Linked DNA regions of Caenorhabditis elegans. The protein of the gene in region 2 purifies or fractionates together with the protein of the main gene of each other region. This does not show direct contact. Each region holds a gene or a part of one and is shown on either strand. Other genes may lie near its edges.

The links.
Region 1: the proteins of W09D10.4 (region 2) and endu-2 fractionate together in Caenorhabditis elegans (co-fractionation; one large-scale study listed by BioGRID). This does not show direct contact.
Region 3: the proteins of W09D10.4 (region 2) and T24C12.3 fractionate together in Caenorhabditis elegans (co-fractionation; one large-scale study listed by BioGRID). This does not show direct contact.
Region 4: the proteins of W09D10.4 (region 2) and glb-1 fractionate together in Caenorhabditis elegans (co-fractionation; one large-scale study listed by BioGRID). This does not show direct contact.

What each region holds. Positions count from the first base shown.
Region 1 is NC_003284.9:8,239,961-8,248,773, reverse strand, and holds endu-2 (EndoU domain-containing protein), read right to left. Parts: upstream 6,474-8,813; 5' UTR 6,452-6,473; coding exon 6,397-6,451; intron 6,345-6,396; coding exon 6,127-6,344; intron 5,995-6,126; coding exon 5,641-5,994; exon of another isoform or gene 5,427-5,640; coding exon of another isoform or gene 5,258-5,426; intron 5,205-5,257; coding exon of another isoform or gene 4,939-5,204; intron 4,891-4,938; coding exon of another isoform or gene 4,802-4,890; intron 4,716-4,801; coding exon of another isoform or gene 4,574-4,715; intron 4,531-4,573; coding exon of another isoform or gene 4,471-4,530; intron 4,427-4,470; coding exon of another isoform or gene 4,276-4,426; intron 4,227-4,275; coding exon of another isoform or gene 3,998-4,226; intron 3,712-3,997; coding exon of another isoform or gene 3,541-3,711; intron 3,496-3,540; coding exon of another isoform or gene 3,362-3,495; intron 3,298-3,361; coding exon of another isoform or gene 3,224-3,297; intron 3,147-3,223; coding exon of another isoform or gene 3,016-3,146; intron 2,971-3,015; coding exon of another isoform or gene 2,794-2,970; intron 2,748-2,793; coding exon of another isoform or gene 2,668-2,747; intron 2,620-2,667; coding exon of another isoform or gene 2,405-2,619; intron 2,375-2,404; coding exon 2,177-2,374; intron 2,121-2,176; coding exon 1,903-2,120; intron 1,859-1,902; and 9 more. Other genes in the region: M60.6 (Tetraspanin family protein), read left to right, coding at 57-183, 227-337; kqt-2 (Ion transport domain-containing protein), read left to right, coding at 2,405-2,619, 2,668-2,747, 2,794-2,970, 3,016-3,146, 3,224-3,297, 3,362-3,495, 3,541-3,711, 3,998-4,226 and 6 more.
Region 2 is NC_003281.10:10,710,464-10,718,460, reverse strand, and holds W09D10.4 (Protein phosphatase), read left to right. Parts: upstream 1-2,269; 5' UTR 2,270-2,379; coding exon 2,380-2,458; intron 2,459-2,815; coding exon 2,816-3,064; intron 3,065-3,665; coding exon 3,666-3,842; intron 3,843-3,940; coding exon 3,941-4,035; intron 4,036-4,675; coding exon 4,676-4,918; intron 4,919-5,924; coding exon 5,925-6,074; 3' UTR 6,075-6,931; downstream 6,932-7,997. Other genes in the region: W09D10.5 (N-acetylgalactosaminide beta-1,3-galactosyltransferase), read left to right, coding at 7,064-7,107, 7,840-7,952.
Region 3 is NC_003284.9:2,197,000-2,205,781, forward strand, and holds the start of T24C12.3 (Carbohydrate kinase PfkB domain-containing protein), read right to left. Parts: upstream 6,895-8,782; 5' UTR 6,841-6,894; coding exon 6,689-6,840; intron 6,642-6,688; coding exon 6,566-6,641; intron 6,292-6,565; coding exon 6,193-6,291; intron 6,149-6,192; coding exon 6,037-6,148; intron 5,907-6,036; coding exon 5,673-5,906; intron 5,621-5,672; coding exon 5,500-5,620; intron 5,417-5,499; coding exon 5,331-5,416; intron 5,285-5,330; coding exon 5,160-5,284; intron 4,994-5,159; coding exon 4,937-4,993; intron 4,155-4,936; coding exon of another isoform or gene 3,896-4,154; intron 3,847-3,895; coding exon of another isoform or gene 3,691-3,846; intron 3,638-3,690; coding exon of another isoform or gene 3,568-3,637; intron 3,521-3,567; coding exon of another isoform or gene 3,439-3,520; intron 2,887-3,438; coding exon of another isoform or gene 2,701-2,886; intron 2,636-2,700; coding exon of another isoform or gene 2,462-2,635; exon of another isoform or gene 2,441-2,461; intron 1,994-2,440; coding exon 1,914-1,993; intron 790-1,913; coding exon 708-789; intron 660-707; coding exon 531-659; intron 487-530; coding exon 372-486; and 3 more. Other genes in the region: T24C12.1 (Tetraspanin family protein), read left to right, coding at 2,462-2,635, 2,701-2,886, 3,439-3,520, 3,568-3,637, 3,691-3,846, 3,896-4,154; T24C12.4 (ShKT domain-containing protein), read right to left, coding at 7,242-7,394, 7,443-7,620, 7,686-7,866, 7,920-7,962.
Region 4 is NC_003281.10:8,921,577-8,925,692, forward strand, and holds glb-1 (Globin-like protein), read right to left. Parts: upstream 1,715-4,116; 5' UTR 1,709-1,714; coding exon 1,515-1,708; intron 1,217-1,514; coding exon 931-1,216; 3' UTR 823-930; downstream 1-822. Other genes in the region: ZK637.12 (uncharacterized protein), read left to right, coding at 2,715-2,873, 2,958-3,155, 3,202-3,324, 3,370-3,471, 3,522-3,680. UniProt on the Caenorhabditis elegans protein: May be a globin and may play a role in oxygen transport.

The DNA.
Region 1 (8,813 bases), on a different chromosome or scaffold from region 2:
TGCGTATTGAAACTTTTTTCCATATCCCAGCTCCTGTAAATCATGAAATGTTACAGAAGAATGACTCGCCTTGGAACCGACTATCGTCTCGATGCCGGCCTCATCGCCGCCGCGATTCTCGAGTTCCTTCTTTCGATCGCCACTTGCGTCGTTGCTTCAAGGACGCTATTTTCACCATTGAAGGTTAGTTGAATCAAGAAGATTTATGCAATTTCATTTTTTTCAGGAACTGGGCGATCAAAGTGCTACCGGAGACCTTACTGTTGAGATGCAACCATTGAATCAATCGGAAGAAAACAACACGTATTCGTCTTTGCCGAACGGATCGACGCAATAGAAACTGAAAAATAGAGATGAACAATGGAAAATCAAAGATCAAAATTCAAGTTCAACATTGCATAATATCAAATCCATGCGTAGTGCATTTAATCTCATCGTAGAGCGATATTCAATTCATGTATTTTATTTAAAATCCAATATCAGCATTTCATGAAAACCAAAAACAGATTCTCAACATTTACGGTCCGAATAACGAAATGGTAGTAAATGTTATTCGTTTTAATTACCATTTTTACTGGTTTAAATGTCTCCATTGTCTTTATTGATAAATTTCCAGTCATCATTGCAATAAAGGTGCATCGCGTGATTTTAAAGTTATATTTCAGAAATTAAGCAAAACAGTAGTATCAGATACTAGAGAAAACATTATGAAAAAAACAATTATTTTCTCTCCAGATCCAGTTGTTAATGTCAATTTCAAAAAGTGAAAAAGTTCACAGCTCTATTGTCTTGAGAAAAATCTTGGCTGATTTGACATTCAAGATCTTTTCGGAAATGGTTTCAAATTTTGATTTTTATACAAAAACAACTTTGGTTTCGGGTTAATAGTTCTCAGTTTAAAATTAATCTTATTATCAATTTATTGTAATTGTTACATAAAAACCACAAGAACAAGTCATAAATTATCCTGGATAGGCAGTGGCCAAGCAAGTTCCAGAACCATCTCCACAATCTTGAAGATATGAAGTAACAGTAATAGGATAGTTGGTAACTTTAAAGTGGCAGTTTCCTCCGTTTCCATGGGCAAGTGCACAAACAGATAGGATTGAGAAATCGAATGCTGCAATATTATTTTATTTGCGGTTCTTGATGAAAATAAAAATGTTACCTGGTGAAGTTCCAGTGAAAAATCCACCCTTTGGCTTCAAGGCTCCATTCCATTTGTATTGGAATGTTCCGATTAAGTTCTAAAATTTCTCATTTTGCAAATTTTCATGAAATTCAAATATGGTACCTCATCATGAGTGTAATAACCATCATAAACCATTTTATCGGCTTTTTGCTCTGTGTAGTATCTGACCCAGTCGTGTTGTCCATCGACTTCGTTGCTCTTGATCTCACCGGAGAATACATGCTCCCATCCTACAAATAGTTGAATGTTAGACCTTGTAGCCAAACAGTAGTTTTTAGTTTGTTCACACATGTCAACACAAAATGTCACATTATTTTCTGAGCTGAACTGTGTGTTGTTTGTAAGTCAAACATACCCGAACTACCAAGTGGACCTTTGCATCGCGTGTACGTTCCGAACCACAAAGGCCACAAAACTTTGGTTTTGAAGTTGGTCAAGTTGCTAGTCTCTTTGTAGTTGATCGATTGAAGATAAGCAAATGCCGATGCAAACATTGGGGTTGCAGTGAAAGTGTTGAAAACACCTTGGAGGTATTGTTTTCTGAATCCTCCCATAGCTGGTTCAGCTTTGCAAACGTCAGCAGTGAAGAGGTCTTGAGTGTATGTTGTGATAAGGTCTGCATACTGTTTCTTGGTGAAGATGGACTCATCGACAGTGGTGAACAAACTGGAAAAAACCTTTTTTTTTTGGGAATTAATCCAATCTCTTACTTGGCCCCTTTGGTACCGGTCTTTCCACTGATATGTTCTCCCCAATTCATAGTAACTTGCGTGGCAGATGGTCTATCCTGATCATCTCCCCACATCTTATCAACCAAAGTTTGAAGGGCAGCATCAGTGGATCCACCATTGTGCTTGGTGGTTCCACTCCCAGCGTGTTTTGTGGTAGCCTTGCTGCTGGATCCGAAGGAAATCACAACCTTGTCGAGCTGAAACACAAAATCATTTAGCTTCTGAAAAAAACTCAATGTAAAAATTATCATACCACGGTGGCTTTGTTAACACTCAATGTTGGAGCTTGAATGTCAATTTCCTCTCCTTGAATGAGAATTGATGGTTGGGTATTTGTAAGGGCAGCAACGGTATATGCAGCAAATTCAAAAGTTGGGGAAGAGTTAAGAAGGAAGGAAGTTTCCAAATCTTCATCACTTCCAGCAACAAATTGAAGGTCAATGGCAATGCCCTGAAAATGGAAAATTAAATCAATGAATTAATGCCAAAATACGTTGCGTTATCAGTTGACTTCCAACACCCCAATGTTTGTTATCAATTAACACGTTTAAATGGCAATAAAGTGACGCTTGGTGCTCATATTGTTGCGATTTCTATGCACTCCCTGACTATCGACGATGCCGAAGATTCAGAAACTGAAGTCTCGGACAACATCCGTAGAAGATCCACTATTAATCTTGGAAATCAAAGGCAACGGTACCAGACCCTAATAATTTTGTTTCGAAAATTTGTAATCCATTTTAGGAATCTCCGTCGTATCCGGTTGAAAGTGTATAACTTCCTTGAAAAACCATTGAATGCAGCGTCAGCGCCATATCATTTTTGTGAGTTTAGAAATCATGATTTTTAATGATAATTATCGATTTTCAGTTATTTTTGGATTAGTTATTGCAAATATTATACTGGGAGCTGCTACAAATGACAATGACAGTACTGTCTCAAAAATTCACTTTTTCCTTGAAATTTTCATGATAGTATTTTTTATCCTGGAATTTGCTGTAAGGTTATGGTCTGTTAGAGCAGATGCAAAGTACAGAACTAAATATGGTAATTTTCCAACTGTTAGTAATAACTGAATATTTCAAATTTCAGGTCGATTATATTACTTATTCCACACAGTTACCCTTATTGACATTCTCATCATCCCAGCCACAATTCTCTTGCTCGTTTTCAAGGGTCATGATGTCGACGGTTCCACCTTGGATACCTTGCGTTTCATCCAGGTTGGTTGTCTAGTACGATTTTAATGGGACTCTGCTGTTTTACGCCATTTTCTTTGCGCCAACTCGTCATTATTCAGATTTTACGACTTTTCCATGTCGATCGCCAAATGGCTACATGGAAACTGCTAAGGAAAATGATTATACTCGGAAAGTGAGTTTTTTATTCCAGTTTCTAGTTTTTTGTTATGTATTGCATGCGAGCTTAAAATTTTCAGATGGCAACTCATGGCAACTTATTATATAACTCTTGTTGTCGGATTGAGTCTTGCAACCATTGTATATTCTACTGAAGCATTAGCTCAAGGAATTCAAGACAACGGATACGGTCTTATTGTACCCGAGGGAACAAGTAAGTTGATTATATTCATTGTTATTTTATTAATCGCCTTTATAGACGCAACGTTTCCAACAATGGCCCATTCATGGTGGTTCACTGCTGTCACCGTCATGACAGTGGGATATGGTGACATATATCCGGTTGGAGCTCTTACCAAGTTTCTGGTTTGTGTGCTTGGCTTCATTGCTTTTTGCACATTCCAGGCTGCTAATACCCAAATATCTGTTGGTGAGTGAACCTGTTCCCATTAAGCTACCAACTTGGTTATTCATTTTTGTTGCCACAGAATTTTTCAAATTGTGTATCGCTTGACTTTGGAAAATTTCTAAGCCTATGAGAAAAGACGTGCAGTTTCTGGAAGAAGTTGTCAACTCCATTAGTAAATGCTTTGATGTTTTTTCTCCGGCTTGTCGGTTTTCAGCACGAAATCCTAGTAAAATGCGTGATTAATTGAAAATGGCATTTAAGATTTCTCTGAAAGGTTTAGATTCCACTGAATTGACTTTTTTTCTAGGTCTCACGTTGATGATGGAAGAAGAAAACAAAAACCAACAGACGAACAGATTACGAAATCTGGCCGCTTCAACTATTCAATGCTGGTGGAGATATCATTTGGCCACGAATTGGAAACCTCCTCGTCGTTATACATATTTCGTGCATGTCTGTTACAAGCTCTATGTTACCGAGGAGCGTATTAATCAGAATAGAGTACTTGCGAAGAAACTAAGGGAAAAGTTGGAGAAGTTGGTTTTTCTAAGAAACGCTTTCATGCGAAAACTCATCTAAATTTAGAAAACGTCCTATCAAGAAGAAGTCTCTCACGCATCAGAACTCGGTAACGGCTGAAATACTAAAATTTGGGTTTAAAGGCATGGCAAAGCCGATGCTGGAAAAACAAGATAGTTTTGATAAGGCCGAACGGAAAATTTCGTTAAGAAGAACTGTAAGTAGTCTGACTATATTGAAAGTATACATTCAAACATTCAGAGAAGTGAAGATCGACGTTCCAGTCTGCCAGACACGCTAGCAGTTGTTGATCCGGCTATAGTAAGGAGATTTGATAGTTCGAAAAATGTCTTAAAGATTACAGCGTAAACGAGTTCTATTTGCGGAAGCTCGAAACAGCTCTGTTGAAACTTCGATGTCCTCCTCTGTTGATGTATCCGAGTTGGAGACTCAATTTGAAATAACCAACTTTCTTGAACAGAATGTCGATGAGCTTAGCTCAAAAGGTAACCAATCTGGGCGGAGTTTGCTCTGGAAGCCACAGGGCTCAACCTTAGCGCAGGTGCATTCCTTGCATTTTTTTTGTTTTCAGAAGTAGACATCAGCCTGCTTATCAAATATCGTCCGCTTCTCCGTTTTTACTACTTTGTCATGTTCCGTTTCATAATGAACAAGTTCCACGTGAGCTTTTTCTTTGACAGCTTTTTGAGAAAATGGTTAAATTTACAGACCCAACGTATCGCCGGTCAACTCCTTATGATTGAAGCCGAAATCGCCGAAAGGGAAAATCAGCGCAATCAGAAAATGAAAGAACTGGAAGCTGCAATTTTAGAGCTCACTGGAAAGCCAACCGTCTCGCCTTTTGACGATTCCGGACAGAAGTTGTCAATCATTGAACGTTTGGAGTTTTGTGAAAAACGAATGGAAGATTTGGAACGGAAAACCGATGCATTGAACGAAATCACCATCAAGTGTCTCAACTTAATGATGATGGAGTAAACGAAACAAACAATTCTAACAAATTCCTATCTCCAAATATTTTTTCCAGCACCCAAGAAGCTGCGTCAAGGACAAAGGACGAGCAAGGTCTTCCGCCAAAACCTCCAAGTGCTAACAACAAAAAACAAAGAACCATTGGACCGAGACGCCAGGTCACAATTGTCGACCAGTACGACACGCTCGACGATTGCGAAACAGTCAGCTTGGATAGAGTCTAATAATTTTACGTCATCATTATCACCACGTGCTCTATCACTGCTACTCGATTGTCATTTATTTCTTATCTATTCCCTTTTAACTAGAAGCTTTATGTCTTCTCGTTTTTCTTCTGATAGTGCTGATAGCGCACGAAACTTCCATCACTGATCAGTAACTCAAAGTTTCATAATTTGCCATTGAACTAACGTAACCCCAGAAAATAAATGAACTCACGTTAAGCTTGGTGAACCATCCATGATAATTGAATTTTCCGGCATTCTCTTGAATGTAGAATCCAACCCAGTTAGCAAAACGGTTCACGACAGTACCAGTGGCTTCTCCGACAAAGACAGACTTGAATCCGCAGCTTCCAAGAGCTTGGTTTCTAGCATACGGAAGGAACCATAAGTTATAGAGTTGTTGACGGAAATCAATTGGATCGCTAGTAGATACTCCTTGAGCTTGAAGGAACGTCCATGCTTGTTTGACAGCATCCGAGGCAATGAAGTTGTCAAGAAAATCTTTGACTGCGCTAGCGTAGTCGGCGGAAGTCGGCACTGCGGTATCACTGTCGTAGTTGAAGAATGGCTGAAATCACTGGGCATTGATTAATTTTGGACAGATATATTGATTTTTCAGCTGGCTGTTTGCTCCAGGAAACCAAAAATCTCCTGACATCCTTTAAGATTCATCGGCTCATTAGAGCGTTTCAAAACTCACCATCAAATTGGCAATTGTGATGTACGCGTTGCTTCCCAAAACAGATTTGTCTACAGTTGTGAAAAGGGGGTCTTTGGCGTTATCGTGGTCTGGGCTCTTCTTTGATGCCATGTTCTGGTAGTTCAAAGTAACCAATGAGTCCGTTCGAACATCAGAAGCCGCAAGGTTGGTGAGGAATGTATTTACAGCGGCGAGATCAACATTTTGAATTGGCTTGCCTTGAAAATTATTTATGTTTAGTTAATTTTTTAATAAAAATGAATAACTTACTATATACAAGTGCAGCTGCCACAAAGAAAAATACACAATTCCTAAGGATCATCATTTGTGATTTTCGGTTTTACTCCCTGAAATATAGGTTTATTTAAAAATGTGCTGGCAAATTGAACTAATATAAATTAGTGTTAAAATTAACAATCTGAAACTGAAAATTAAACGTCTTATCTTCAAATATACCTAGCCTTTTATCTTGCTCTGACTCGACCCAAAGTCTTCTTCAGTATTCATTGATGACGACAAAGGGGCGGCTACTGGTGATGTTAGCGCACATGTCCTGGACAAAACGTGACTATTTCCGAATTGCTGATAATGTGAAAAATCAGCAACATCGGTCTTTTCCATTTCAAAGTACAATCGTTTTCTATGAAATTTTGTTCAGAAAACTGAAATTGTGCGGTGGTCGTCTGCAAACAATGGCGAGACAAGGATTCGTCACGGAATTGGCCAATTTTGGCACGGTAGACATCAATTGGAGGTTTAGCATTCTTAGGGAACAACTTTCTGTTTATATAAGTGCGATCTGATATTTTAATTGTTTCATCATTTCCAGAGTAGGTGCAAAACTTATCGCAAATTTAAACGTTTCCAAAATCCCCAGCATTCATGCTGAAATTGAATCCTTGTTTCTGACTTTTTTAGTAACGATGAAAATTTTTTATATTTGATTAGAGATGTGAATGTAAGAAAAATATTTGCTCAATTTGAGTGAAAATACATTCTTCAGAATTGCAATTTCCCCAGTTAATGTTGATTTTTAAGTTTTTCTGCAGTCTAATGATTCTAACTGTCATTGTTATATTTTAAACTCTTGATTCGAGAAGTTTTGACCGAATCAAGACTTTGATAGAAAAGTACAGTTTTTAATATCAGTAATTTTTCCTAGCTTTACGATTTTATCTCATCTTACATGATTATTTTAAGATGTCCTCGGAACTATTCTAGAATTCTTTCTAGATTTTCTAGAATTTTTTTTATTGTTTGACATTTCTAGATATTCTCTAATTTTTTTATTGTTTCACATTAACTTATTTCCATAACTTGAAGGTTGAAAACCCGTTCAAATAGTTTGCTCACTTCAAATGATAAAACCGATTTTATTGGTTTTTTCATTACTATGATCTGACTATAAACTAAAAATAAAAGAATGCATGGAATTTGTACAGATTTTAATAGGCTATTTCTGATTAAGCACAGTCATTCGAAAAGTAAAGAATAGAACTGATTTATATTAACTAAATGCACAAAACACAGCGTGTTAATATTTAAATAGAGAAGCCTCAAAGGAGCGTCCTGAAAAAAATTTGTTTTGAAAAACTTTTGTGTGTGTGATTTGTACCGTTTTTTCAGAACTTATAATTGTTTTGAATGAGCAATACTTGTTTTCTTTTATAGTCCAAGTATTTTTTAATTATTTATATTATGCGTCTTCATCAACTTAAACGGGATAATGTTCAAACTAGGGCATGTACACGTTTATCCCTAAACTGAATTGAAATTCAGTTTTCAGAAAAATTTACATTTCAATTATTAAAAATTGTTTGTTTGTAAGGTCTTCGTACAATTTGTGTGAACTTTGATCGCTACTTTTCTCTCGACGAGAAAAAAAAATTAACTGAGTTAAAATATCAGAAAATTGTATGGAAGTCATTTTATTACTGGAATTTTTACAAAAACACCCTGTTCTGAAGGTACAAACTTTTCACGAGCAAAAGTAAACATTAGACTTGCAAATGTCGCACGCACCAACTTTTGTCGTAATTGTGGTGGAATATTTAAAAATTAGCAACATATGTACAAAGCAGATTACGAGCAACACCTAATCGGTAATTTATTCTTGCAAAAATCATATTTTTAAATGTGCACTACGTCGACATATTTTTGTGGTTTTATTTTCTTAACGGTTTTGTATTAGATTATTGCAGCGTTCAGGCATCGGAAAAAGTGTTTTTCTGTTTTTCAATCAAAAGTTTTAGAATTTTCAGAATTATCCATCTGTGTAAAAAGACCAATGTACATGGAGCCAACTCTTTGCTTCTGAAAAAATCAGAATTTGTCTCATAGTCTCTTTCTTTGAGAATCTATTTTGGAAACATTTTGTGATTAATTTTTTTAGTTAAATAGCTCTAGCATGAACAGAAGTTGAAGCAGATACCCATTCACGTAGGCAGAGTTCAGTATTGAAGCAAACTCAATGAGATCATCGACCGTCTGCAATGCTGATAACTCAAACTACCTCCGTCTTGCTTTCCGGTTGCAATGGGTAATAAAACAGAAAGCTACATATGCTTGAGAATTTAAAAAAGGAGGCAAGTTTGGAATTGAATCGCCTTGAACTTGAGAAATGGTCGATAACTGTTATAAAAATTGCAAAACATATTGAGAAATGAATATACAGTTTACTAAACTAA
Region 2 (7,997 bases):
CAAATCGGCAAAAACCGACAAATTGCCGGAATTGAAAATTTCCGGCAAATCAGCGATTAGCCGCCCACACCTGATCTGTAATAGGAACTAAAATGTCTACTATGTACTTTATATAGTTCATACTTCACAGCACACACACACACACACAAATGTACACTTCATAATGACGTGATTAATGATGTTATTGGCCAGAAAAGACGAGTTTTTGTTCGGTTTTTGTTGGATTCTGCTGGGCAAACTGAGATGGGATCTAGTTAAGTTAACGGGGGGTAATAAGCAGAGATCACTCAATAGGTTATACTGTTTTGTTGATTTTTTTTTGATTTGCGCTTTTATTTGAGTGTGGTGGAAGACGCGGAGGAGCTGATAAGTGTTCTGTTTTCATGCTTTTCCATCGATTTTTCTCCTTGTCCTTCGAGAGGTGTTTCGATTTTTTGTTTGGCTTTGAAAACTTCTAAAAAATCTGAAAATTTAAATGTTTAACGAGTGTGTTATATAAAAAACCAAGATTCCCATAGTTTTGGTATGATCTACATTGTATTATTTTTACTATCCTACCCGAAAGGTCTCTAGGCACGCCTGTAGGCATTCCGCAATGCCTGGACAGCTTAAACATTGCCACAACCCGTAAAGTTCAAGGCTTTGGGGTTCAACACATTCTCTGTGTCAATGACGTCATCCAAAGAGAATCTGGGTTTCCACTTCTTCTATCTCTCGTTTTTCTCGCTACTTTGTTTGCGTCTACGTGAAAAATACAAAAGAAAAATGAAAAAGTTTCACCGCCTCAACCAGCTGTGTGTGCGTGTTCCCCATTTCAGACTTTGACCTCTTCTGTCCTTTTTCACATCATCATTGATCTTCGGTCATCACTGTTATCAACTATTCAGTTTATTCAACCAATTGATTGATGGCCATGCTTGTTCCAGCAACCCGATTGATCGTGTGTGTGTGAACGGTTTGAATAATCTTCAGATCAAACTTGAGAGATCAGTTCGTGTCCGGTGTCATGTTCGTCCCGGTGTCATGTCTTTAGTTATTTGGTTATTTAGTTTTATAGTTCTTCAGCCATGCAAACCCATTCTCTGATTTTTCAACGACATGCTGTGTTGTTTATTGATTTTTCTTTGACTTCAGTTGTTAGTGCGATAGATATAGAGTGGGAATTCTGCTTTAAAATACCCAAAGTTGTCTGAAATTCAGAAATACCTGTAATTTTCCAAACATTGCAAGTTTTTTTTTGGAATTTTCAGAATTTCAATTTTAATCGGCAAAAATTGTACGCATCCTATGAACGTTCCTACATCTATTTTGAAAAGTAGGCAAATTTCTCCGGTAAGAAGACAATTTGCCGAAAATGAAGATTTCCGGCAAATCGGCAAATTGCCGGAATTGAACATTTCCGGCAAATCGACATACTGCCGGAATTGAAAATTTCCGGGAAGCCGGTAATTTTCCGAAAATGAAAATTTCAGTCAAATCGGCAAACCGGCAATTTGCCGATATTTCTGGAAATTAAATTTGCCGAAGATGAAGATTTCCGGCAAATCGGCAATTTGCGGAATTGAACATTCCCGGCAAATTGGGTCAATTGCCGGAATTGAAAATTTCCGGCAAACCGGCGATTTTCCGAAAATGAAAATTCACGGCAAATCAGCTAATTGCCGGAATTGAAAACTTCCGGCAAACCGGTAATTTTCCAAAAATTAAAATTTCAGGAAAATCAGCAAACCGACAATTCGCCGAATTTTCTGGAAATTAAATTTGCCAAAATTGAAAATTACCGGCAAATCGTCAAATTGCCGGAATTGAACATTTCCGGCAAATCGGCAAACTGCCGGAATGGAAAACTTCCGGCAAATTGCCGAGTTTACCATAAAATAAATTCCTGATCTTTACAATGAACCTCTAATGTTATGCCTATAAGAAATCCCACGTGATAGGCTGTGAACATTTTTTTGCGGCGTTGCTTTTTCAGAATTTTGCCTGAAACTGGCATTAATGTCTTCTTCTTCTTGACCATTCTGCTTCTATTTTCGTTCTCTCTCACCGAACATCGATCAATCAGAAATTACAGACGCTTCCTCCCTCAAACTCCTCTCATTTTTCTTACTTCTGTTGTTTTTTCCCCGTCTTCACTCATCAGGTGACCCCGTTGCTGACTCTTTCCCGATGAGCTTATTACACTTTTGTTCATGCATTCTTCTTATGATCCCCCCACCCTCTTCTGAACTCGTAATAATATTCTATACATTTTATCGATTAATTTCAGGAGTCGGGCCGGGCACAAACGCGCATGTATTAACTCTCCCACGACGAATCGACTACAATATATAGTAATCAAAACCGAAAGTTTCTAAAATTCCGGTGAACAATCGTAAAATGGTGGCCGGTGTGAGATTACTCGCATACGGACGACTTGCAGTTAGAGCCGTTTTCTCGGCTTCTGCTCTAGATCTTGGTGAGTTTTGGGTCCCGACGCGAAAATCGGGGATTTTTTTTTGGAAATTACATAGTTTAAAAAAAAAAGGAACTGATAACTGAAACGCGAAAAAATAATTTCAGACCTAGAATTTCTATGTCAAAAATTACAACATTTTTACTCAAAGTACAGCAGAACATTTTTTTTATAAATTCGGCAATTTTTGAATTCCGGCAACTTACCGATTTGCCATTTTTTTGCCTGGATTTTGTAATTGAATTTATTAGTAACATTAGCTGGAAAAATTTTCGAGAAATGTTATAATTTAAAAATAAATTTCAAATTTGAACCCCAGTAGGAACCCCATTTTTCTCAACAAAAATTGAAAATTTCCAGGCTCCACAATCGGCCCAGAAGCGATAAGTTCAGGCCGACGAGGGCTCTCAAGTGGCTCATCAAAACCAAAACCATCGTCAGAAGGATCTCCATCATCGCCAGCTCCGAGTGCTCACGTGGAAAATGTGATAGCAAGTTGTGCAGGATTTCCGAAAGATATGTTAAATGGACCATCAACTGTACTGGATAAAGGAGTATTTGGAGATGATGCATGGTTTATTTCACGATTTAAGAACACTTTTGTAGTTGGTAAGTTGGTGAAAATTGCGGCGAAAAATTTGAAAATGAAAAAAAATTTTTAATTGGATATTCGATTTTGATAGTTTCGAGAAATAGAAAAAAGCAAATGTTTCAATTTTTTTTGAAAAATTTTTAAAAAGGTATTTATATTTCATAAAAAACAACCTATGTTTGATAATTTCAGAATTTTTTCCGGTTTGTCTTGTTAAATTTTGACCATTTTTCATATTTTTAGAAAAAAAAAACATGTAAAATTGAATTTTTAAGTTACGTTTGAATTTTTTTCAATTTTTCGTATGCGATCCGATTTTTTTTTTGGATTTTGGACCAAAAATTGACAAATTCTAATTTCAGGTAAAATTTTCGAAAAGCCTTTTATAAAAACAATTTTAAAAAATCTAAGAATTGCAAATTTTGGAAAAATATTATTGGAAAAATAAATTTTACAAATAAATTATTAGTTTGAAAAATGTGAAACAATAGCGAAGAATTTAGTAAAATAACGGAAAATTCGAAAAAAAAAACTTTTTTTTTTCTAAATCCACAAACACGAAAAAGTCAAGTTTTGACATTTTGCATCGAAATTTTTAATCTTCAACACATTTTCCAGGTGTTGCTGACGGAGTTGGTGGATGGAGAAAATACGGAATTGATCCATCGGCATTCTCGCGGAGGTTAATGAAAGAATGTGAAAAACGTGTTCAGAAAGGAGATTTCGATCCACAAAAGCCTGAATCTCTCCTGGACTATGCTTTCAGAGCATCTGCAGAGGCGCCGAGGCCTGTTGGTTAGTTTAATTGATTTTTTTTGAAATTTGAAAATTTTTGAATGCAAAAGGAACTGACATAGATCCTCTTCAAAAAAATTTCAAAAAATAATTTTCAGGATCCTCAACAGCATGCGTTCTTGTCGTCCATCAAGAAAAGTTGTATTCGGCGAATCTGGGGGATTCTGGATTTATGGTTGTTCGCAATGGAAAGGTTCATTTTTAGATATTTTTTTTACTAAAGTAGAGTGTTTTAAAAACTTAAAAATTAGCTACAAATTTTTAACGAAAAAAAAAATTGGAATTTGATTTTAAAAAATGGCAAAAATAGTGTAAAGTTAAATTTCCAACAAAATTCATTTAAAAAAATTATTTTCACAAGTTTAAAAGTGGCAAATTTTAGCTTAAGAATGTCCTAAATCTACTAAAATAGCGAAAAAGGTTCCGGATTTAAATTATATATACATTTTAATACAAAAATTATAAATTTTTTCCCAAAAAATGGCGAGCTTTGCCTCGAAACCAGTAGAATAAACTAACAGACCATTTCGAAATTTGTTTAAAAATAAATTAAAATATAGTTTGGAAAAAAAATAGATTGAAAAATTTGAAAATAGGTTCGTTTAGAATGATTTTTAAAAAAAGAAAAATGGGCAATTTTGGCTTAGAATTTTGAAAATCTGCCGAATAAAAAATGAAATAATAGTATATCGAAATTGACAATTTTATCAAAAAGTTGAATAGTTGAAAAATAAGAAAATGATGGAAATTAGCCAAAATATTGCAAAAAACCACAAATTTGCACCAAAATCCTATAAAAATTTGTTTAAAAAACTGTTTTTTTTTTGTTGCAGATTGTATCAAAAAGTCGTGAACAAGTGCATTATTTCAATGCACCATTCCAATTAACACTTCCACCAGAAGGATATCAAGGATTTATTGGTGATAAGGCTGATATGGCTGATAAAGATGAGATGGCTGTTAAGAAGGGTGATATTATTCTATTAGCAACTGATGGTGTATGGGATAATCTTAGTGAGCAACAGGTGCTCGATCAGCTGAAAGCTCTTGATGCTGGAAAGAGTAATGTGCAAGAGGTTAGAGTTTTTGGATTTTGAAAAAAAAAAATTTTTTTAATTTAAATTATGCATAAATTCTCAAAATTTTTGTTAAAAAAAATAAACAATTCTCTCTGCAACTGCATATTTGGAATTATTTTTTTTTTTTCAAAAAATTTGTTTTTAATTGAAAAAATAAAAAAAAAACAATAAATAGCGTTTTTTTTTCTGGTTAATTTTGGTTTTTTTTGTTGCAAAATGCACGAAAACTGGCAAATTTTAAACCAAAATTTCAAAAAAAAAACCTCTGAAAGTTAATTTTTTGGTTTCGATTTTTTATATGTGATAATCAAACATAACTGACAAATATTCAGTTTTGTTTTCAAAAAAAAATCCGTTCTGTATGAGAAAAACGTCTAAAGCTCCGAGTTTTCCGTGTTAAACCTACAATTCCGAACAATTGTAAATTTGGAACTCTCTGAAAGTTTTCTAAATGTGACTGGAAATTATGAAACAAAAAATTTTTTCGATTTTTGTTAAAAAAAAAATTAAAAATTCACTTTTGGAAAAATATGAATAATTTCCATAAAAGTTGATTTTAAGCATAAAACCTAAAATTAAGGTACCCGGTCTCGACGCGACCGAAACTTGTAGTATGCGCCTTTAATGAGTACGGTAGTCGTCCTACTCCTCCTAGCTCTATCGCATTTTTCTATTTACTTCGCTCTAAAAGTCTGAAATTTGAAGAAAATTGCATTAAAACCAGGAATTTGCACCTACAGTACTCTTTAAAGGCGCGCGCAATGAAAACTTTCAGTTGTGTCAAGACCAGCTACCGTAATTTATCGTTTTTTTTTGTTTTCTAAAAATTTTCAGAAAAATTCAAAAAAAAAACATTCAATTTTTTTTGAAATTTTGAAATTTTCAAAAAATTCATAAAAAATTTATGCAATGCAATTAAAAAATGTCAATAAAAAAATCGCAGAAATATCGGTTTTCAATTAATTTTCCCCAATTTCCCAATAACCCCACACAATTCTTACAGGTATGCAATGCTCTGGCACTGACCGCCCGTCGATTAGCATTCGACTCAAAACACAACAGCCCATTTGCAATGAAGGCTCGTGAACACGGATTCTTGGCGCCAGGCGGAAAACCAGATGATATTACACTTGTCTTGCTGCTTATTGCCTAAAAGATTCTGTTTTTTTTTAATTTCTGAATTAGATTAGTAGTGTTAATTACTTTTTTTGTTTCTTTTTTTGCCTTCTCCTCCCACATTTACAGGTTCCACGTCCCCACCCCCTCAAGATCACCAAATATCAATTTTCGCTCCCTTTTTCTCCCCTAAAGTAGGGAAAATTATCGTTTTTTGAGATCTCCTCCTCCCTATTTTGCTCCTTTTCTCCCCGAAATTCCCCCTAACTTGTGCCTTTTTTGAGATTTTTTTATTGGATAACGCCACGTTTTCCACGTAATCGGGAGTTTTTTACACGTAATAAGGGTAATCAATAATGTTTTTTTTTCTAGTGACTTAGCGTCATTTGTGTCTTATATTGCTGACACGGTTAGTTAGTTGAGAATTAATTTTTTTTGTTTTGTTTTTTCTTGTATTTTTTAATTGTTTTGAATGCAAAAAATTACAGAAAATTTTCCCAGATTTTTAGTAATTTTTGAACCAAATTACACTTTTTTCCGGATTTTTGAGGTTTTTTTATGCTAAAAATCTAATTTTTTCAAAATTTTCATATTTTCCAGATTAACTTTTACAAAAAAATTGCTTCAGAATTTAATGTTGAGAAACAAATTTCCTGAAAGTTTTTGCAAAAAATTGATAATATCTTTAGCATTAAATAATTTTTTTCTGAAAAAAATCCAATTTGAAACATCTTTCTACTAAATTTCAAAAAAAAAACCCAAAAAAATACGAAAAAAAGTGTAATTTCCCCCTAATTTTGGAGTACTTTTGCTCTTTATCACCTGAAAACCCACGCACACCCTCAATTTTTTTCTCCTCTATCTTTTCCGTATACAATAAATTTTCTAGTCGAATCGATCTCTCCTTCTTCTCGGTCTCCGAATAAACAAGGAGACACATCACTGAGAAAGAGAGAAAGACAGTCACTTCTCTCGGGAGAACACACACTTTCCCTGCCTTTTATTTCTTGACCGATATATGGGGAAATGACGACGATCAATATTTTCAAGTCACGGATCAGAAGTCCCAGGTACCAGTTTTCAAAGAGTTTCGCGGAAAATAAAGCGAAATTTGGGTCTCCTCGTGATTTGCCATGCATTTTGATATAATTATGTGCCGAAGAAGTGATTTAAAATTATTTTCGCTATCACACGAACACAAAATTCTCGGAATGCGTATTGCACAACATACTTGGCGCGCAAAATATCTCGTAGCGAAAACTACAGTATTTCTATAAATGACTACTGTAGTGTCGATTTACTGGATCGAGTTTTTTTAAAGATGGAATATCGCTGATCGAGCCCGTAAATCGACACAAACGCTACAGTAGTCATTAAAATATATACTGTAGTCTTCGCTACGAGATATTTTGCGCGTCAAATATGTTGCACAATACGTATTCTCAGAATTTTGTATTCCCGTAATAGATTTTTAAACTTAAATTGCTAATTTTTTTCGTAAAATACAGTGCATGAAGTTGGTGTGTGCACAATTTTGAATTGCGGACTCAATGCAACATATCTGACGCGCAATTTTTCCAAACTGAAAAAAAAACCCATTTGAAAATTGCGTGAAACCACTTTTGATGACATTAAACCATCTCTCAATTTTATTTCCGGCAATTCCCGGCAAAATATGCCTCGTCATCGGAGCCGATGCACCAGATTTCACGCGCAAATTTATAGAATAATGTACGGAAGAGAATGGCATGTGTTGCTACTGTGTTCACATACATTGTTTCAAGGGAAAAAGTCAATTTCAGAGATGTTGTGATTCATTTGGCGCTGGGCGTCTCACTTGGCTACCTGATAGGTATTTTGTTCATATTTGATGGAGACAACGATATTTCAAAACATATTCATTTAATGGAACATGGTATCTATATACATTTTTTATTTGAAATTTGTGATTCAATTTCAT
Region 3 (8,782 bases), on a different chromosome or scaffold from region 2:
ATAGTTGCGTTTTAAAATTCAAGCTTGGCAATTTGTAGAAAATGCAAAATACCCTACCTATATACCACTGCCGATCCCTTATTCGCCAATGTCACAATAAAAATGGAAGTATTGAGTAGCAGCTTAGTTTTCTCCTTTTCTATAAGTTCCAGCACACCATCGGCTGTATCAATGACCGACGGATCTACGGAGACGTGACAGAGTTTAGCCCATTTCAGAAACTCATTGGCATTTGGCGATGCGGCAGTTACAGCTCCAACCAAGCCTGTGTCGAACACCTTTTTCACTTTGTCAATGTCCGTGGGCTCGAGCCAAACTGAAGCCTTGTATATTTTTGTCTGTTTTTGTTAATTCTATGTAAGTCACCATACCTTGTTTATCATGTTTCTTTGCAATTTCTAAAACTCTGGCCATAACTGGAACTGATAGATTTGAATCAAGAAGAATGAAATCTGATGATTCCAATGCATCTTCATTGCTTTCAACCTGAAAAAACAACTATTTTTTGCCTCGTATCCTATTATACCCACCAATGACGGAGTAATGACACTCAGAAGTGGCTCACAAGTAACAATTCCATATTTCACGTTTCCTTTCACGTTGACTGCTAAATAAGTGCAAGTTGGTTTGTTGCTTATAATCTTTACTCGATTAATATCCTAAACGACACGAAAATTTCCATGAGAAACAACAAAAAAATTTCCTACAATTTTATGACTGTTCTGTCTGAAGAAATGTCCGTTGTTGTCATCGCCAATAGCAGAAATGAAAACTGAATCACATCCAAGCCTGAAATAAAAAATATATTTTAAGATAAAGCTATTTTCAAATCAAGCACTTTGCGCGCCGTGGCTCAAGCCTGCAATACAGTTAAAGTTCAATTGAAGTGCAAAACTATCAGACAAAAGTCAATCAAACAATTGATCGTACACAAAACAATTACAAAACTGAACAACGATCTTGGGATGTTTGTCAAAATAAGAGCAGAAAAAAATCGAATTCCAAAGAGACCGAGTTCAAATTACTTTTTCGCTCTTTTGCGATCCACACAAATACCTCGGCAACATTTACTTTCGTTTGAGCATCAGGTTTGGTGGTATTGTGTTGTCGGTCATCTTTGAAGTTTACAGTGACATTGTACTATCTTGATGTGATGAGAAGTTAAAAGGTCTCGCTTGTGCTTTTGGTTTGAACAAAAAATGAAAGCCACAAGTCCATAAATGCAAATGGACTTGATTAGTTTTATGACATTTTGTATTTCTGTATTTGGTTTAGTATACCGGGGGTGGATTGCTGTTTTTCAAATTTTTGCCAAATTCGGCAAATCGGCGAATTTGCCAGAAAACGGCAATGGCCAAAAATTATCGGCAAATTAAGGTTTTACACATTTTTTCTTTAACTCTATACACATTTAAATTTTGAACCGCAAAATTGTACGCATCCTACGGATCACCCTACATCTATTTTGAAAGTAAGCAATTTATATGTGAATATAATTCAAAAACAGGAAAACATTTCATAATGGCACGGTTCAGTGTTTTCGCCTTATCGAAAATCCTTTTAGAAATTTCCGGCAAACTGATACCGGCAAACGGCAAATTAGCAAATTGCCGGAGTTGAGCAATTCCGGCAAGTTTGCCGATTTGCCGAACGGCAATTACCCACCCCTCATTTGAACACTACATTTTCACATCATTCCAATTATTTATCCCAATATGCACTGTACTTTGACCACGCTACAAATTCTTAGCAATTTTTTTTCTTCAATTCAAAACAAAAATGGTCAGGAAGAAAAACATATCATTTCGATTTCTTGTGAATGTATGAAAACTGTGTGCCAAAAGTGAAAGTGGTGGTGCGTCTTTTAGCGCGACGCACAAGCGATGACATTCTAATTTACGAGTATTTCTGACCTTGCTAATGCATCCGCGTGATTCCTTGCTACTCCTCCCATTCGCTGTACCACTTGTCCGTTGTATGAGCCGCCATCATCCTGAAATCATTTAAGTGTTACCGGATATTATATATATTGGAGTTCAATATCAAATTCTCAATCTCAATTCTTTAGAAAAAAAAACATTATGTGCTTTGAAGCGATCACTTAAATGTGTGACAGTAGCGCATTGATACTTTGTTCAAATAGCAATGAATCAGAAAGCTTGCTCTCCGATTGGCAGTGTGCCGGAAGCTTCTGCCACACAGTTTTCATTTATTTTATTTTGTTCTTTCTCTTTTTTTGTCTTGGCCTCCCACTTTTCATCAATCATACAGACGAGCCATCAGCACTGTTTCTCTCACAATCAATCCTCGTAGAGAGAGAGAGAAAGAAGAAACAAACATGTGCGAGGTGTGTGTTTTCCTGTTCGTCTTTCTTTTCAAAAATCTTTCCCCGTTCCTGTTTTTTGTACCTTCATCATTGATTTTCAGAATCACTTTGCCATAATTATAACAAGTTTTCAGCATGCGGTTTGGTAAAGCGGCATGGCTTTATGGGAGCAATATGATACTCCTGCTTGCCGTTTTTCTCTTTCTTGGCGCCACGATTGTCATGCTCACAAGCCCATTATTCGTGCTGATTCCTATCAAAAAGAATGATCCATATGTTCTTGGATACTGCTTCATCAATATTTGTTTGGTGAGTAGTGCAAAGCTCCGAACTTAATAGTTTCACTATGTATCATCAAAAACCATTGTTTTCAGGCACTTTTGTGTATCGCATCAATTGTTGCAATTCGGAAAAGACAAATTGGCGTTGTCGTTTTTTGTCATTGGATAAAGTGCTGTACACTTATTGTGGATGCTGTCATGGTTTTCGTTTTTGCAAGCATCATGTCCACAGCTCACACCTCGCTATATTCCCACATTCAAGTACTTCACAATAGCAGTGTAAGTATTCAAGATTTTGAAATCCGGGAGAAAAACCAAGTATACAGTTAGGTTGATTTTTTAAAGTTAAACCAGTACAGTTTGTGCAGAACAAAACGTGGAAAAATAGGAGTTATTAAACTCATTGAGGAATACTAATTATTGATACAGTGTGTCCAATTTCTACAAGACCTCCTTTTTAATGATTTGAAAACTCGCACTGACAAAAAACCTATGCAGCATTGTTTTCAGCCTAGTTCAGCCTACCAAATTATTAGTCTATCACTCTGACCAAAAAAAATCAGATGGTCTTGATTACACATTTTAGCACATATACGTGGAATTTGGGATCTCATGACTTTTCCGCTCCCGGCGCAGTTCTTATTGCTAAATTGTTTCAAAAAGTTTGAATACATTCGGTTGCAATTATGATCAACTTTAATTACATTTATTATAGTCCAAAAATGCTGAAAATTATACTAGAACACTGAAAACATTTTCAGATTTTTCAATATCACCATGCAAAATTTTGATAAATTGTGTAATTTTTTAACACGTGTTATTAATTTTCAGAAAGAACTATGCTCTGTCTGGGATAACGTCTATCAGACTTTGATTTGCTGCCCACCCGAAGAAGTGTTACAAACATGTGCAGGTATCTAGTTTCTACAGTTGTTCCCCTCATAAAATTCTGTATTTCAGATTTTCTAAACGTTACAAAATCGTTTTGCCCAACTGGACATTCCAATGACTGCTATATTCATCTCAAGAGGTAACATATCTTTCAGGAAAAACTGAAATTATATGAACAAAAAAATCTTGCAGATGGCTCCATTCCAATACAGAAATAGTCGGATGTCTTGCTTTTTGTGTGATCACGCCGCTGAAGTTGTTCATGATCGCAGCTCTTCGAAAAGATATCGAGAAAGTTGAAACAGAAATGGCGGAACTTGAATACTACTCTCAGATGATTAATGAATAGTAATAACTATGACTTGAGGAGCATTAATAATCAACAATTATATTTCAGTGACCGCCATGGAGATGGTTACATCGAGAGCTTCAAGAGCAATATCAACTTGGCTGACAGCACGTCAACCCAAACATCAGGAATCAGCCGCGTTAAAAGTTTCCCAGGATATTCACCTTTCTTGAAGCACTCTGTAATCGAGGAGGTGGAGAACGAATTTACGGTCCGTGGGGATGAAATTCGGGAAGAGCTACAACAAGCGATTGCTGCTCATAATGCACGACAACTTGAGGCGGCTGCTGTTACTGAACAGTTTTAATTTTTGGGGGTTCAGTTCAGTTTCTCCTTTTTTCATTCCGACAGTTCAGGGGTTTTTGTGAAAGTGTTTGCAAGGGTGTGATGTTGGTATAAGAGATGTTGTTGGTAAAATAATATTTTGATGAATCTTACTAGTTCGGCAATTTGTCACAACTTATACACCAACTTTTGCAACGTTTCTACGAACTATAGAAACATATCTACAACTTTGGCCAAGCACTTTCTACTAAGTTTACCTACTTTGATCAATTTTATCCAACCTTTTTCCCAAATTTAGCAACTTCTTCGCTTGGCATTGCTAAAGTTGCAGCAGTTGGTGGATGAGTTGCAGCAAATTGTCGAGAGTGTTTCACCTAGTGTATATTATTTTTCTCTAACTTTGTTTTTAAATGAGTTTAAACGGTTTGGGCAATTTTGATCTAATAATGCAAATTTCGAATAAAATGAACTCAAATAAACGAATTTCGTAATGAAACTTTTCAAAATTTTTTCAATAATTTTTTATGGCGGTTTCACTTGTGTCTACTTTTCTGTGCCATGTCTGAACCGTTAGGTCCCCTTCAGACAACTTTCCACGGCTCAATCACTTTAAAATCCGCAAACCACTCAAATCTCTAAGTTTCTTTCATCATAATTTTTTACGTGTTTTTCAAAAGTTTTTCTTTTCTAAATTGTCATGTTTTTTTTGGTTTTTTTTTTTTTGGTATACTCCATTCCCCAAATGTTTTTTTCTGATTTTTTTTGTTGTTGCTCATTTTCAATTGTTCTTTGTTTCATTCTCACCTTTACATCTTCACTCGTGATGGCTTCAAAGTCAACGATAGTTGCTCCGATAGAAACCTGAAAAACAGTCGTGATCTGTTTGATACGTTTGACAAATAAATGTCATTGAAACTAGTAGGCGTTGGTTGTTTGCTAAGACAGCTTGTGTTGTTTCAAACTTTTATGAGAACAATACCACATTTCGCAAGTGAATAAAAAAAACTTTATTGTAGGTTTGACTCACCACTTTTGGTTTTCGAGTCGTTGATGCAGTTGGTTGGCTCTGTGAAATTGTAAGTGGACGTCTATCGCAGAGCTTTGCGGCTAGTCTTCCAGCAATTGACGCATTATTCTCGAGAAGTGCAATGTCTGTAAAATGACAATTAACAGCGGAAAAATTGTTCAAAACGCATACTTGTAGCCATTGAAGCTCCTTGTGTGAGCTCGTTCACTCTTGCAAGAATGAATGGGGTGACACTTTGTGAAGCGATGTTTTGTTCACTGAAAGTAAAGTTTTGAAGCAAAACAGGGAACTTTTCAAAAAATATTTTTAAAAAGTGCAACATATTTAAATTTTAACTTACATGGCTTCTTGAACAGCTTGGTCAATTGCTTTCTGGATCGCATCTCCATCAGCTGCATATTTTTCAGGAATAGGACAAGCCAGAATAGTTCCATAAGGTAATCCGAGAGATTTCGAGGTTTCTGAAACACTTCATGACTTTACTTCATGAACCAATATTTTTCATCAACTCACTTAACAGGTGAACAACTTCTTCCAATGATTCAGTGCAGAATTGAGCTTTTCTATCTGATGTTCTAGTGAAAAAGCTTGGAAACACATTTTCTTGCCCATAAACTATGCAGTTCACGGAATGAGTTTCAAGATATTCGACAGTTTTGGGTATGTCTAAAATGCTTTTGACTCCAGAGCACACCACACACACGGGAGTTTGCGAAAGTTCTTGAAGATCAGCCGAAACATCGAATGCTGGAAAATTTTTTTGCTGTTCGGAAAAAAAAGAACTTGAATAAATGGTAAAAAAAATTGTCCAAATTCAACAATTTTCCTAAAACTTCACGGGTCAAAAAAAAAACACCAAACACATGAAACAACTCACTCTGATCTGCACCACGATGTACTCCACCAATGCCACCTGTTGCAAATACACTGATCCCAGCTGCGTGTGCTATCTTCATAGTTGAAGCTACTGTAGTTCCTCCAACTTCTTTCTGAAATCAACATTGAAAAATTTATCATAGTAGATCAAACTTACTTTAATCAGTGTCTTTGCGATATCCCTGGAGGAAACTTTGACTGCATTCTGACTTGAAGCAAGAAGTTCCAGTTTTTCATCATCCAATCCAACATGAATCTGAATAAAATGAAAATGTTTAGGTATACACTATTTAAAATTTTCAAAAAATGATTTTTAATTTTATAGCGTTTAAGTTTTCACAAAAATTCCTAAGAATTTTTAGTTGATGAAACACTAATTTTGGCAGTTTTTGAATAAAAAAATATTATTGTTTTATATGAAAATATTGGTATAAAATGTCGCAGTCTGCTAGAAAAACGAACGTGGCAGCAATAAAAGTATCATTTAATAATTTAAATTTTCAGAAACAAGTTCTAGCGAAAAAACCTACTTTTCCATCAAATAACGCAATCGTAGCTGGATGACTTCCTGATGATCGAACTTTTTGCTCCAAACTTCTTGCAGTACTGCAAATAATTTTTTAATAGTTTCAAATGCATTTGCAATTCACTACCTTAAATTATGAGGGTAAGGAAGTCCATGTGTGATCACTGTACTCTCCAGCGCGACAACTCCTTCTCCGCTAGCTAGAGCCTCCTTAACTTGTGGAGAAATTTGAAGAAATTTGGAAAACGAACGTTTTTGGCCAAAAAATCGAGAACACATAGTGAGAAATAGAGAGTAATAGACCTAGAATGGGGCTCGCACTATCTACAACACTACTTTTTCTGGTTATCGAACAAGATCGATATGGAAAAAGATGGAGAGAAGAGATAAGATTGCCCTCTACACTCTGTTTTTTACTATCTCAAAAGTGTCCATCATTTGATAAGATTGTCATTTTTACGAATTTCAAAGTCCAAGCTTTTTTTTTGTGAAGATTTTATTAATCATTAAAATAAATAAATTGGAATTTTAAAAAGGTTCGATCGAGATCTCGTTAATTTTCGTCATGAAATTAGGAAAATATATTACAACAGATTAGTAAGTATTGAATAGATAAATAAATAAATGAGTAAGAAATATTAAAAAATAAGAATGAATAAATTACGTTTCCAGTGTGACATTTAGTTCGGAATGAGAACTGGTGGTTTTCCACAAGACACTGGCTCAAATCGACCGAGCGGTGTGCGATAAATATCTCTGCGGCAAAAGTTGCAAGTTTTTCTGCAAATGCGGAACGCCAAATGTGCAGTCGATCCGTCGCAAGACCATTGAGACTGCAAAAAAAAAGTGGTCTAGAAAACATTTAGAAAAGCGTCACCTACCTTTCCCCAAACATCCTCCTTCTTCAAAAATCGCTTGCAGAACTCTGATCCATGGCGGTCGAAACATTGGTTGGATTTGTGGCCGGCTTGGAAAATGAGCTCGTATCTATCGGCAGCGCTTTCCATTCCACAAGTGTTACAACATTGGATCAAAGAGAAATCAGCGTCAGTAGCGCATCTGAACTTCATATTTAATTTCAGAGAGCATTTGAAACAATTAATGAAGTTTAAAAAAAAACCAACCTGTCTAGGAACTTCGAAGGATTGTGCTGTTGAAGTCTTCTACAGGCAATGCTCGAAATGATATCGGAGCAACATGGTGGAAAGGCTGCTCCAAGTGCTGTGGAAAGCTCACTGATAGTAATATTATCCTCTTTGTACAATGGTTTGAGCTGTGAAATTTGGAAGCCAGCATCCACAATATCTAAAATTAAAAAAAAACAATAAAATGAATTAGAAATGAAAAAGCCTACTCACGGATGAGAAAAATAGCAGAAAAGACAACCGCGTACTTCCACATGACGCTCAATTGTGGTGTAATTGAGAATGTCCCAAGTCGACGGAACATTGCTCGTACTTTTATAATACAGTGCCAATCATTCCGGTTCTGCACCTCCCGCATTTTCGCGCCGCCCCAAGGCGTTGAGCAGTGTGCAGCAACAACACAATGTAAACGATGACCGGAAGGCACGGAAAAATGAATCGAGCTAAGCATTATGGGAGCATGAGAGACCGTCAACTCTGACGTGATTGGCATATGCACTACTGGATGATCATCGGTGATTACACGTAGGTGACACGTGTCTGTGATTAATATCGCGGAAAGAAGTGTGGGGTATATTGAAGTTGGCATACTATCATAGTAAATCTTTCCAAAAAAATTTTTGGAAATTTTATTCACTCTCAAAAAGTTGCAATTACTGAGTTTTTGCCTCTCATAATTTTGGAAGCAGGTCAAAAAAAATTTATTTTTTCGACGACTTTTATACTTTAATTGTATTCTATTTAGTTGATTTAAAACATTATAAGGGTAGACTCTTGCGACATTGCTCTGGATTTTCTTAAAAGGTTTTCCAAAATTTGGCAACTAGCCAAAACTTCTTTGACTGACTGGAAGTTTTTTTTTAATCTAAAAACTTTTGGAGTGTTTTAATATGGTTATTTTATATCATTATTGGTGCATTTGGAAAAGATCCCCACTGACGCTAATTATCAGAAACTCATGCTTCCAACAATGAAATAACTTCATTCATTAAACAAATTGTTTCTCCTAAAAATTTGAAATTTCTGTTTTACACATAGTTTTCACCATTTGCCTCTTTGAAGAGCCTAAACCATTC
Region 4 (4,116 bases), 1.8 Mb from region 2:
CCCTAAAGTGTCTGAATATTCTTATTTGAAACATGAGTCGGCCATAAAATTTGAAAAAAAATACTTATGTTTTGCCCGCCAACTTCCAAAAAGAGTGACAAAACCTGACATTTTTTCAATTTTCAAAATAATCAAATAAAATTGACATTTTTTTATTTGTTTTACAATGATATTTGGCCATTGGAATGCCATAGGAATATTTCAAAGCAATTTCCTACTGGCGCCACTTCATTTTTAAACAAACCAAAACAATTGGTCTATTCATGTGATGTTTCAAAATAGTAAGTTGTTTTTGTTGATTTTTTTTCTGTATTTTTTTACATCACAAGAGTACCTTTATTAGTTTGTAAGTTCTGATTGTTTTATAGCATCCCAAAAATTTCGTTAATGTATTATTTAATGTGGAAAACTATAATCATTGCATTTTGTTCAGTCGAATCCAGTCGAATCAAATGATATGTATTCCAAGCTTGTTTGGTGCCGCAAACTTATTCCGTGCTTCATAATATTCACAACATTTACGGAAGCTTTAATGTAATTCAAGCAATTCAAGTGTACACAAAATGAGGAAAAAGTGTAAAACGCTAGTGTACGTGCCATGTTGTTGGTCTCTATTCACACGTGTTGGCAGGCAATTCGAAAACGAAAAGATCAAAACATCAGAAGTCAGTTCGAGAGATATTCGGTTCTTTGGTTCATGGTGAATTAAAAACAAGATAAATATTTTGATGGCATGCAATGTGACGGCTGCATCATGGAAATGGACAATAAATTGAAGTTCCAAAGTGTTGCCAAGTACGTATTAATTTTCTGTGAACTATGTCAAAATACTTTGTTTATTTTGTACAAAAACGTTTCCAAGAGAGATAATCATTATAATACTCAAAGCTCATTCAAATACAATATAAAGGCTCAAAACATTCAGATCTATTAAACATGTGGAAGATTGGAATTCTTGAGATGTGTCTGACTCTCAGCATTGAATTCCTTTCCAAGTGCCATCCATGCGGCCTTTTGTTGATCATTGAGACATCCAACAGATTCAAGATATCCAGTGAATACAGTGAAGAATGCCATCCACAGAGCTGGATCCATTTTGTAGATACGATGACGGTTGATGGTTTCACGGACGTATCCCTTGAAGACTTCTTCATTGGTGTAGACGTTGGCAAGGAGATGGCACGCAAGAAGAATACGTTGGCCTTGTTTGTCAAATCTGGAATTGGAATTATTTAGTTTTGTTTTGCTGATAATTTCCATTAGTCAGACACGCTACAATATAGCACCCCGTTGTTTAATTTTAACAGCTTTAAAAAAATTGTTACCTGGAAAAATGTTTTTTATTTCTTTTCCTATTGTTGTGCAGTTAATTATTTATTGGTATCTTCAAAATTGAACTAGTTATTACCTTCAAAAGCGAAGTAGTGGGGTGCATTACTATTAGAGGAAACACGTCAAATTTTGCTAACTAAAATCGAAACCAATATCAAAAAGTTTACAGTGTTAATACTAACCTCTCACTCTTCTTCACATCATCTGCAGTGTACTTCTCGGCTCCCTTGAAATAGACACGAAGATCCGGGAAGTTGGTGAAGAAATAACGGTAGAAGGCGTTTCCATTCTCAATGTTTTGAGCCTCAGTTCCAACCATTCGTCCTTCAAGGGACTTCACACAGAGATCACTAATTTCTTGACGGTTCATCGACATTTTTCTCTGAAAAATATTTAGTTAAATTGGGAGTTTGTAAAATCTTATATAAATCTTTAAAAAATAAAAATTAAAAAAGAATTAGAAATAACCATAGTAAAGTTAGAAAGAAAAGAGACTCTAGTGAATGTTTTCCATCTAGTCTCTCTTTCTCTTTCCAAAATGCCTCAAACCGCCGAAAAATAACGACTTTTGACCAGTCCGCACGGCTCCGCCCATTTCCCTTCCCGCCTCCAAATGATGACAAACATTATGATCTTTTGGATGCTCTGCGTTTCTGCATTTCCAATGTTATCTAACATTTTGGAACGGAAAGGAGTGAGGCGGGATTTTTGCGACTCTGAAGGTCAGTAAATTGGTAAACAACATCCAAATAACGGAGGTAATTTTCAAGTGGCAGACGAGGTGGAGAAAAGAGTAAATTAGGGTTGGGTAAAGATGGAAACTCAAAAATCAAAACATTTGGAAATTACTGAAAATTTAGTATTGAGTTTTAAAAATCATAAATTCTATCTAAACTACAAAAAATAAGTTATAGGAAAATGTATTAAGATTAAAACGGCAAAGCTTCATGCTCAACCCCTGAAACTTCAATCTGTAACTTTTTCAGTGCAGTTTTCACTACTCTCGAGACATGTACAATTGCTTTAAAATCTATATTTTGCAGACTTTTGATAATTTTGCGTTGTTTAAGAGAAGTTAAACCTTTGGAAACAATTTGGAAATTTTTGAAATCTAAACCTCAAAAGGTTCAATTCGGGTTTCCCTTATTCCTAATATTCGAACCATATTATCACTTTTTTGACATTTTACAACTGCACCATTCTCATTTCACATATGTTCTTACAATTAATTTTTAACGTTAACTTTCCAATGGAAAATTTATTGAACATTTAAACGTGTAGCCTAATTTGTTTGAAAAGTTGAATGAAAAAAATCAAAACAACAATTCAAAACCAGAAATCAATTATTCCTTAACTTTCAAAATTCGAAGCAAGCGAAAAGGATGGAATGCGTGAATTGCGATTGTACAGTCAAAACGATGGACAATTTGGATCAAGCGATTCGGGCACTGCTGCAACGTGGCAAACACGTGAATCGAATGATGGACAACGAGAAGCTGATTAGAGAGGCTCGACGCATGGAGGAGGTCCAGCAGTTGAAGGTATGAAAATTAAAAGAGGATAACCTCTAAAGCAATTAACAAATTTGAATTAAATGACGTGACAACTGACTGGGGAATTTTCAGATGCAAATCCCCAAGCCGGTTGACAAGAAGCCCCGTCCACCGCCTTCGGAAAATAACCTGAAGCTGATTTCGTGCGAGGAAACATGCATGGATGAGACACTGAAAAACTCGTCGAAGCCACGTATGATCTACAATAAGCAACTCGGACGCGCCGAATCGATTGATTTCGATGTTCCGTCCCTGTCTTACGAGAGTTCGGTGGGTGTCTGCTGCTACTTTTCCATGAAAACAAAGCATTTTCCAGGAAAAGTGCGCCGGTGAAACGAGTCCGTATACTTCGGCGTCGGTGTCGAATTCTAAAAAGGCGACGTCTTCCTCGAATTTCACAAAGTCGGAGACCACTACAATTACTGAGTTGACAACTTCTGTAAGCCGGAAAGCTATCCCAACTCAACAATAATTACTGTTTCAGACGTTCAAAAAATCTAATAATTCATCAGGTGGCGCTCTTGTTCTGGACAATCATTACTTGATTAATAATGACGATGGAACTGTGAAGAAATTGCCAATGAAGGTAGTATGCCTGAACACCATCTAATAATTCCTCTCATAAAAATGTTGCAGGTCTATGTGAAACAACGTCTCGAAGATGGATCTCTTGATGTTCAACTTGTATTTTTCGACGAAAACTCGCAAAAAGTGATGGATATCTCCATGCTTGTGAATGGAAAAAAGATTAGAAACGTTCAATTTTGTGGAAAAGACGCCAAGCTTGTGAACTAGAACTTCTTATTGTATTTTTTGTCAAATAAAGAGAAAGCGGCGTTTTTATCTTTCTTCCCATCTAGATGCCACAAAAAAAAAACACTCAACAACTGACCGACAGTTAAAAACTGCTGGTAATAAATTTTGAAAATTTGTGGCGATTTTCAACATTCTGACAATTTTTGAGAATTTTTTCCAATTGTTTTAACTGAAATAATTATACATCCTATTTTTAATTTTTAATGAAACAATTAGTAGAACATGCTCTTTTGTCTCATTTTGTGACGTTGCAGACAGGCAACTGCCGAGCACCAATAAACCGAATTTGATGAACTGTGAGGGAATTGCTATTTTACCGTGTTTTCAATTCACTTGCTCTTCAATTTCCCATTTAAATTTTTGCAAAGAACCAAAAGTTGAACCAGCAGAAAAAACCGCACCCAAAGTGAACGTG